Mus musculus: one gene and its partner. The protein of the gene in region 1 binds, or shares a complex with, the protein of each later gene. Links are inferred from orthologs where the notes say so. Each region holds a gene or a part of one and is shown in the gene's direction. Other genes may lie near its edges.

The links. The genes of interacting proteins can lie anywhere in the genome.
Region 2: the proteins of Kcnd2 (region 1) and Kcnip1 are in contact, whole or in part, in a cryo-EM structure (PDB 7E8E), measured with the Homo sapiens proteins. The link is inferred for Mus musculus from reciprocal best matches to the Homo sapiens genes KCND2 and KCNIP1. Residues at the interface, in NP_036413.1 of Homo sapiens: Ala2, Val5, Ala7, Trp8, Pro10, Phe11, Ala12, Arg13, Ala14, Ala15, Ala16, Ile17, Gly18, Trp19, Met20, Pro21, Val22, Ala23, Ser24, Gly25, Met27, Ala29, Pro30, Gln33, Arg35, Lys36, Arg37, Thr38, Gln39, Asp40; in NP_001030009.1 of Homo sapiens: Thr60, Arg62, Glu63, Val66, Leu67, Arg69, Gly70, Phe71, Asn73, Glu74, Phe85, Ile88, Tyr89, Gln91, Phe92, Tyr101, Leu105, Phe109, Phe122, Leu126, Leu129, Leu130, Lys137, Thr141, Leu144, Tyr145, Val162, Ile165, His185, Phe189.

The regions. Positions count from the first base shown.
Region 1 is NC_000072.6:21,214,122-21,217,866, forward strand, and holds the start of Kcnd2 (potassium voltage-gated channel subfamily D member 2 precursor), read left to right. Parts: upstream 1-1,224; 5' UTR 1,225-2,177; coding exon 2,178-3,292; intron 3,293-3,745. UniProt on the Homo sapiens protein: Voltage-gated potassium channel that mediates transmembrane potassium transport in excitable membranes, primarily in the brain. Mediates the major part of the dendritic A-type current I(SA) in brain neurons.
Region 2 is NC_000077.6:33,841,429-33,845,173, reverse strand, and holds the start of Kcnip1 (Kv channel-interacting protein 1), read left to right. Parts: upstream 1-1,487; 5' UTR 1,488-1,983; coding exon 1,984-2,044; intron 2,045-3,745. UniProt on the Homo sapiens protein: Regulatory subunit of Kv4/D (Shal)-type voltage-gated rapidly inactivating A-type potassium channels. Regulates channel density, inactivation kinetics and rate of recovery from inactivation in a calcium-dependent and isoform-specific manner.

The DNA.
Region 1 (3,745 bases):
ACATCACTCACCCTTCACCCGGGCACCTTTTCTTTCTTCGGTCATTTTAGATATGGGCAGGGATGCGCAAAGGGCATGAAGAGACACACACTCTAAGAGACTCACGCCCCTGCACACTGACATTTAGAAAAGGGTCTAAATTCTCCTGTCATTTGCAAAGGACAGGGGGAAAGGAGTTGTGGCAAGACCTAACCAGAGGAGATTTGTGTGACTTTTCCAGCAAGTTGGACGGGTAATATATTAGCCTTAGTAACATTAATATCTGTTTTGAACATACATAATTTAAAAAAATAAATAAAGGAACGTGGGAGAGTCACTTAAAAATTCTGTCGCGGAGCTTTGCAGGTTCTGCGACCCAGTCGCCCCCCAAAGGCAACCAATTCCTTCGCGTTCCGCTCTGTTCACCCTCCTTTCCAGCTTTTCTCGAATCTTTTTTTTTTCCTTGCCCCCCTTTCCCACGCTCATCTGGAACCGGGGCTCCGGAGGCAGCAGTAAGCCACCGGTCCCCTTCCTCCTCTCTTCCATCAAACAGCCGCGGCCGAGTGCCTTGAAGCTTCCCTTTGTTCATCCAAGGCTCGCTCATCCCCGGGGTAGAACCACCTGGATGCTCTCGCTTGGTGACATTTGGCGTCGAGGCTGGTGGGTGGCTAGGGTGGAGCGAGAGGAGCCCGAGGGGGCGGGGGCGGAGAAAGGTCAAGGCGAGGGAAAGGCAGGAGACGCCTTTGCCTAACCTGCGTGGCGGGGCTTGCGTGCGGCTCTCGCTCTCTTCCCAGCTTATTTATCGATCGCACCGGCAGAGCTGCGCGCGGTGCTCGGGGGAGATGCGGGACCACCCACTGGCGGGGAAGCAGCGAGCGGCCCTCTCGCGCCCCCGCGCCGCCGAGCGCCTCCTGCCTCCGCGCCCGGACGCCAGCCCGCTCCCGCCTCGGTCCCGGCCCCACGCCGCCACCGCCCGCCCCGCAGCCCCGCAACCCCGCAGTCCCGGCGCCCCGCAGCCCCGCAGCGCCCCGACCCCGGGGACGCCGGCCGCGCAGTAAGTTGGCAGGAGCGAGTGGCCTGGGCGGCTCGCCTCCCCCGCACCTTTTTGAACTTGTTGCTGTTGGCTCTGCTCGCCTGCGCCTGGCTTTTGGGAAGGTGACAAGGAGGAGGGAGGCACGGAGGGTGGGGGAAGGGGACGGAGAGCTCGCCAGAGCTTTATTTATGCTCCCCGGGAGCCTGGGATCTGGCTGCTCGGGAGCCGCTGGCTCTGCCTTTCCCTTTCCGGGTACAAGGCGACAGCAAAGTCTCTATGCAACTCAGCCCCGGTGCGCACTTTGCCAGGTATGTACCGCGGGCGAGGCGCGTTCTGCGCGGAGGCAGATGCTGCTGCCGCCACGGCGGCGGCGGCTGCCAGCTCCCAGGCTCTATAACTGTCACACTGCACCTGAGCTGAACTTGAACAGAGAGTGAAAGGGCCCATCGGGCAAACGCTCTCGGCTAGCGCAGAGGGTGTCAGTCGTCGTTGTGGGGGGGAGAAAGAGCTCTAGACCGACGCCCCCCGCCGCGAGCCCTGCACTTCACCTCCATCTCTGCAAGCGCAGCGTGAGTACAGGCGGCCAGCGGACTCCAAGGGACGCGGGACAGCGGCTGTGACCGCATCTCCGGAGCTACAACAACAGGTCGTCTTTTTGAGACGCCTTTGGCGGGAAGGACCACTTCAGCAAAAGGGGAAGGTGAAAGGGTTCTTTCTTTTAAGAGACTACCACTGACTGGTTGACTTTCCCTGTTTCCTCTCTCCTGCTCTATATACCGACCCCATATCTACCAGACTGTATCAGGGGAGAAGCGAAGACACCTGTTTGAAGCCAGGCTGTCTCCGAAGTCACCTGTACGTTTACATGTGCCAGGACCTGCCCTGGTCCAACTGTTGGCAGAGATTTGTTTAGGCTTTATGGAGAGAGATTTTTAGGTCACTGTATTTTTTTTTTCTTAGTATTCCAAATACTTCTGTGAGGGAAACCTGACCTTCTTGAGTACTGTGACTTGACCTGCGCCACCTTGGAATAATCGTGTTCCTGTGAGCAGTGTCCCCCCAGTGTTTTGCCTGAGGTGAAGAAGTGGGGGGCACTTTCTTACTTTCATTGTGTTATTTTGGGTGACCCCCCTGCTCACTCTCGTGACCTCCACTTCCAGACAACATGGCAGCCGGTGTTGCAGCATGGCTGCCCTTTGCCAGGGCAGCCGCCATTGGGTGGATGCCTGTTGCTTCGGGGCCTATGCCTGCGCCCCCAAGACAGGAGAGAAAAAGGACTCAGGACGCTCTGATAGTGCTGAACGTGAGTGGCACCCGTTTCCAGACATGGCAAGACACCCTGGAACGATACCCAGACACTCTGCTGGGTAGTTCTGAGAGAGACTTTTTCTACCACCCAGAGACCCAACAATACTTCTTTGACCGTGACCCGGACATCTTCCGCCACATCCTCAACTTCTACCGCACGGGGAAGCTTCACTATCCCCGCCATGAGTGCATCTCGGCTTATGATGAAGAACTGGCCTTCTTTGGCCTCATCCCAGAAATTATTGGCGACTGCTGTTATGAGGAGTACAAGGACCGCAGGCGGGAGAATGCTGAGCGCCTCCAGGATGATGCAGACACTGACAATACAGGAGAGAGTGCGCTGCCCACCATGACTGCTAGGCAGAGGGTCTGGCGGGCCTTTGAGAATCCCCACACCAGCACCATGGCCCTGGTGTTCTACTATGTGACTGGGTTCTTCATTGCCGTCTCAGTCATCGCGAATGTGGTGGAAACAGTTCCATGTGGGTCTAGCCCAGGCCACATAAAAGAACTGCCTTGTGGGGAGAGGTATGCGGTGGCCTTCTTCTGCTTGGATACCGCCTGTGTCATGATCTTCACAGTTGAGTACTTGCTTCGCCTGGCCGCAGCACCTAGTCGTTACCGTTTCGTGCGCAGTGTCATGAGTATCATCGACGTGGTGGCCATCCTACCCTATTACATTGGGCTGGTGATGACAGACAATGAGGATGTCAGTGGAGCCTTTGTCACACTCCGAGTCTTTCGAGTCTTCAGGATCTTTAAGTTTTCCCGCCACTCTCAAGGGCTGCGTATACTGGGGTACACCCTGAAGAGCTGTGCATCAGAACTGGGCTTCTTGCTCTTTTCTCTCACAATGGCTATCATCATTTTCGCTACCGTTATGTTCTACGCAGAGAAGGGCTCTTCAGCAAGCAAGTTCACCAGCATCCCGGCAGCCTTCTGGTACACCATCGTCACCATGACAACACTGGGGTAGGTGCCTTTGTAGAAAACGGGATGGTGATTGGACATGGGTTGTGTTGATTATGAATCTCTTAAGGCTTCCTGATGCTTTAGAGTGACTACATTTTTTTTCCTCTGAATGGATTTAAGAAAGCACTATTTTAAAAGTTTGGAAACAAACAAATAATTTTGATCTGTGAAATGGGTATGACAAAAACGATTGAAATTACTTGGGAGTTATAGGCAAATATTAATTACTGATACCATAAAATGACAAATATAGACTTAATAGACTAATTAATAGATGTGGATGGTATGTCTTTCAACCTAAGAGCCTTGTCTAATTTTATATCATTATATAAATTATAGATTTTCATTATGAGTAATGGGTTATACTTAGAATATCAGATTGGAAACAGGTCAACTATACAAAATATAATGTTTGGAAGTCCAGGCTTGTCTCTTTTTTTTAAAGAAACATAT
Region 2 (3,745 bases), on another chromosome or scaffold:
CTGAGGTGAAGCACGCTATTCTGAGTCCCTGAGCCAAGGCGCTGGCCAGCTGTGGGGGCAGCTAATGGGCTCGGTGCCTGGAGTCAGACCACACTCCTGTATGTGCAAGCTTATGTATTGTGAAGGAGCTGATGACTCTGCTCTGAGAGCACATGTGAGGGTCTTAGCTGGGGTCTTACAGGTGCACACCCCACCCACCTCATGTGTATTATGGGTTTGGAGTCTGTGTGCAGCATCTCAATATCTGTGTGGGCATGAGGGACCTGTGCCCATATGTTCATGGTTGCATATATGTGTGCGTGTTTATGACGCCATATGTTAAGGGATGCTGTGAGCTCCCAACACAGCATGTGTCTGTGTGCTGCAGAGGAAATGACTGGACAGGGGTCTGGAAAGAGAGGGGGTTGGGGATTCTCAGTGCAAACACAGAGGGAATCCTCAGTGAATGTCCAGGCAGACAGGGCAGACAGGCAGCTAGGCTGGGGAAGAGGAAATTCAAAGCTTTCTAGGGAGACACCTGTCATCAGTTGCCACCAGGAGTTGCCACAGGTCCTCCATCATTGCCTTTTCAGTGGAAAGCTGAAGTGGGGCTTGAGGGTTCTTGCCACCTGAAGGGAAGGTCATGGAAGGAAGATTGCTTTCTAAATTCAAGAGTTACCCCCTGGGTTCCTAACTCAAGTACTGTCCCCACAGGTGTCTGATTTGCAGGTGACAGAGCAAACACACACACACACACACACACACACACACACAGAGAGAGAGAGAGAGAGAGAGAGAGAGAGAGAGAGAGAGAGAGAGAGAGAGAGAGAGAACACAAAGAGGGGGTCAGGTAGCAAGAGCCTAAGGGGACCCACAGCTACTTCTCGTCCCACTTCCCCCACTTCCTGTCACTAGAAATGAGCTCTGGTCCTAGGGGATTCTGCAGGTCCCCAACACCTCCTACAGAGTTCAAAGGAGCCCTTCTTCTTGATGACAACTCTCTTTAGGTGGGGCAGACTTTACTCCACACCAGAAAGGTAGGCAGTGGTTAAATGATTTTCTCTAAAGTCAAATGAAATCTTAATGCCCTCCCTTTCTCTCTCTCTGTCTCTCTGTCTGTCTCTCTGTCTGTCTCTCTGTCTCTGTCTCTGTCTCTGTCTCTGTCTCTCTCTCTCTCTCTCTCTCTCTCTCTCTCTCTCTCTCACACACACACACACACACACACACACACTCACTCACTCACTCACACTCACATATTTATATTCATCCTGGGGGTCACCTGCTGCCTCCTACCCAAGCTGCACCCACCAGCCAGGTGCCTGATCACATCTGTCTGCCCAGAAGGACATCCCCGGTGTCCCGCACAGCCAGGAGTAGAGCCTTGTAGACAGCAGGGCCAGGTCCCCACCCCGCCCCTCTGCGGTCCCCAGGCGGCCTCCGCCGCCTCCCCCACCATCCCCCGCGCCTGGTTCTGAGCCCCGCTCTACTCCGCACCAGTCCCTGGCGCTGTTCATTCATGATTGGTACTCGGCCCCCTGAGATCCAGCCCGAGCGCGGGGCGGAGCGGCCGGGTGGCAGCAGGGGCGGGCGGGCGGAGCGCAGCTCCCGCACCGCACGCGGCGCGGGCTCGGCAGCCTCGGCCGTGCGGGCACGCCGGCCCCGTGTCCAACATCAGGCAGGCTTTGGGGCTCGGGGCTCGGGCCTCGGAGAAGCCAGTGGCCCGGCTGGGTGCCCGCACCGGGGGGCGCCTGTGAAGGCTCCCGCGAGCCTCTGGCCCTGGGAGTCAGTGCATGTGCCTGGCTGAAGAAGGCAGCAGCCACGAGCTCCAGGCGCCCCGGCCCCACGTTTTCTGAATACCAAGCTGCAGGCGAGCTGCTCGGGGCTTTTTTGCTTTCTCGCTTTTCCTCTCCTCCAATTCAAAGTGGGCAATCCACACCGATTTCTTTTCAGGGGAGGGAAGAGACAGGGCCTGGGGTCCCAAGACGCACACAAGTCTTCGCTGCCATGGGGGCCGTCATGGGCACTTTCTCCTCCCTGCAGACCAAACAAAGGCGACCCTCTAAAGGTAAGCACTCTGTCCTCTATTTACTCCCCTGGATAGGTTTGGGGGCACTGGGTGTTGTGTTGGGATGAAACGTCTGTCTCTCTTAGTTCCAAACCCACTGTCCGTGAGGGTTTTGGACAACCTCATGAATCCAAGGAATTAAGAGCCTCGTGGGAGGGTTGGTGTGAACACCCAGGGGTAGCAGCCGAAGTGGACGCTGGCCCCAGCAGGGGTGTGGGTACCCTTCTCTTCTAGGGAATGTATTGGAGCAAGACAGGCAGATTCACAGGTGGAGAAAACTGCGTTCTCTGGGGTGGGCGGAAATGTTGGGAGGCTCTTCCCACTCCCATGAGGGCTGATGTTGGTGCAACCTCGAACATCCAGCAAGGGTGCCTCCTTGGGAATGGCCATGCCTTGCCAGGTGCTGACTTGGGAATCTAATCATGAGGAAAACGGTGATTTACCGGTCCATCCTTAAAACCTCTGCAAGCCAAAAGGAATCAGCTACGTCCAGGTGGTAGAGCCCCCAGGCGGGTCCTGGGACACAAGCAGTCTGTAGGAAAAAACAAATAGCAGGGCTGTGCTGCTATGGTGGTCTGAGGACTTCAGAGGAATGGGGAGAACTGTCAAAAGGGGGGCTGGGGCGACAAGCTCACATATCCTGAGATGTCCCTGTCAGGAGCCTGCCTTTCTCCAGCTGTGGCATGCCCATCTTCAGTGGGACAGTTATTAGATGGCCACGTGGAGTCAAGTGACCTTGTTGGGCCAAAAGCACACAATGCAGGCCCCCTTTTCAACAGGCAGAAAGTTGCTTATAGAAACAAGAAGACTGGAAACAAATCAGAAAAAAAAAAAAAAGATAATGACAGGCTTGGTTTGCTTAATGCTCAAAAGCCATTGAAGATAGCAGAAGGGTTCTAAATAGTTTCACACTTAAATATCCAAGTTCTGATGTTTAATATATTCTGACTACAGGTGGGGGCACAACACACACCTTATCCTGGCTAGTGACCAGAGCTGTGTTAGGGTGATAGTGGGACCTGTTTCATCTCATCTTGGTTGGGATCATACACAGAGATACCCAGGAAGAGAGGGTCAGTCCTCAGAGACAAACTGACAAATAGGAAGACATCTTCAGGTGCAGATCCCAGGTGATAAGACCAGGCTTGCGTGACAGACCGGAAACGGAAGGGGCTTTAGCTTATCTGTTAGGTTCTTTGCCCTGCACGGAAGGCATTGGTACCTCTCAGTAGCCCCAGAGAAAGGCAGGTCTGCAAACCTTTTTCCCTGGGTTTTGGTACTCTGAGCTCTGCCTCTCTTGGATCCTGAGGTGCTGCTTAACACCAAGCAAGTTGGTTCTTGCTTCAACACCAAGTCCAAGTCAGCTCCCTACTCATCTTTCTTAACAACATGAGGTCCCACAGGCAGTGGAGGGCACTGTCCGGCACAGTTAACTTGGGTTTATTTAAAATTACCTACAATGTCCGTATCTCCTTGAGAGGTAGCGAGGCACCCAGAGGAGAGGTCTGTGTCTCTATAACCCAGCAGAGTGCAGGGGGAATCTCATCCCGATCACTTCAGTCGTGGGCCTTGAGCAAATACCACTCTCTATAAGTCTCAATTGTCATCCACATCCAATGGATGAGGATGCTGCCCTCATGAACGCCGGCGAATATGGAGGGAGGGATACCTCATCTCATTCACTATGCAGCAAATGGAGGG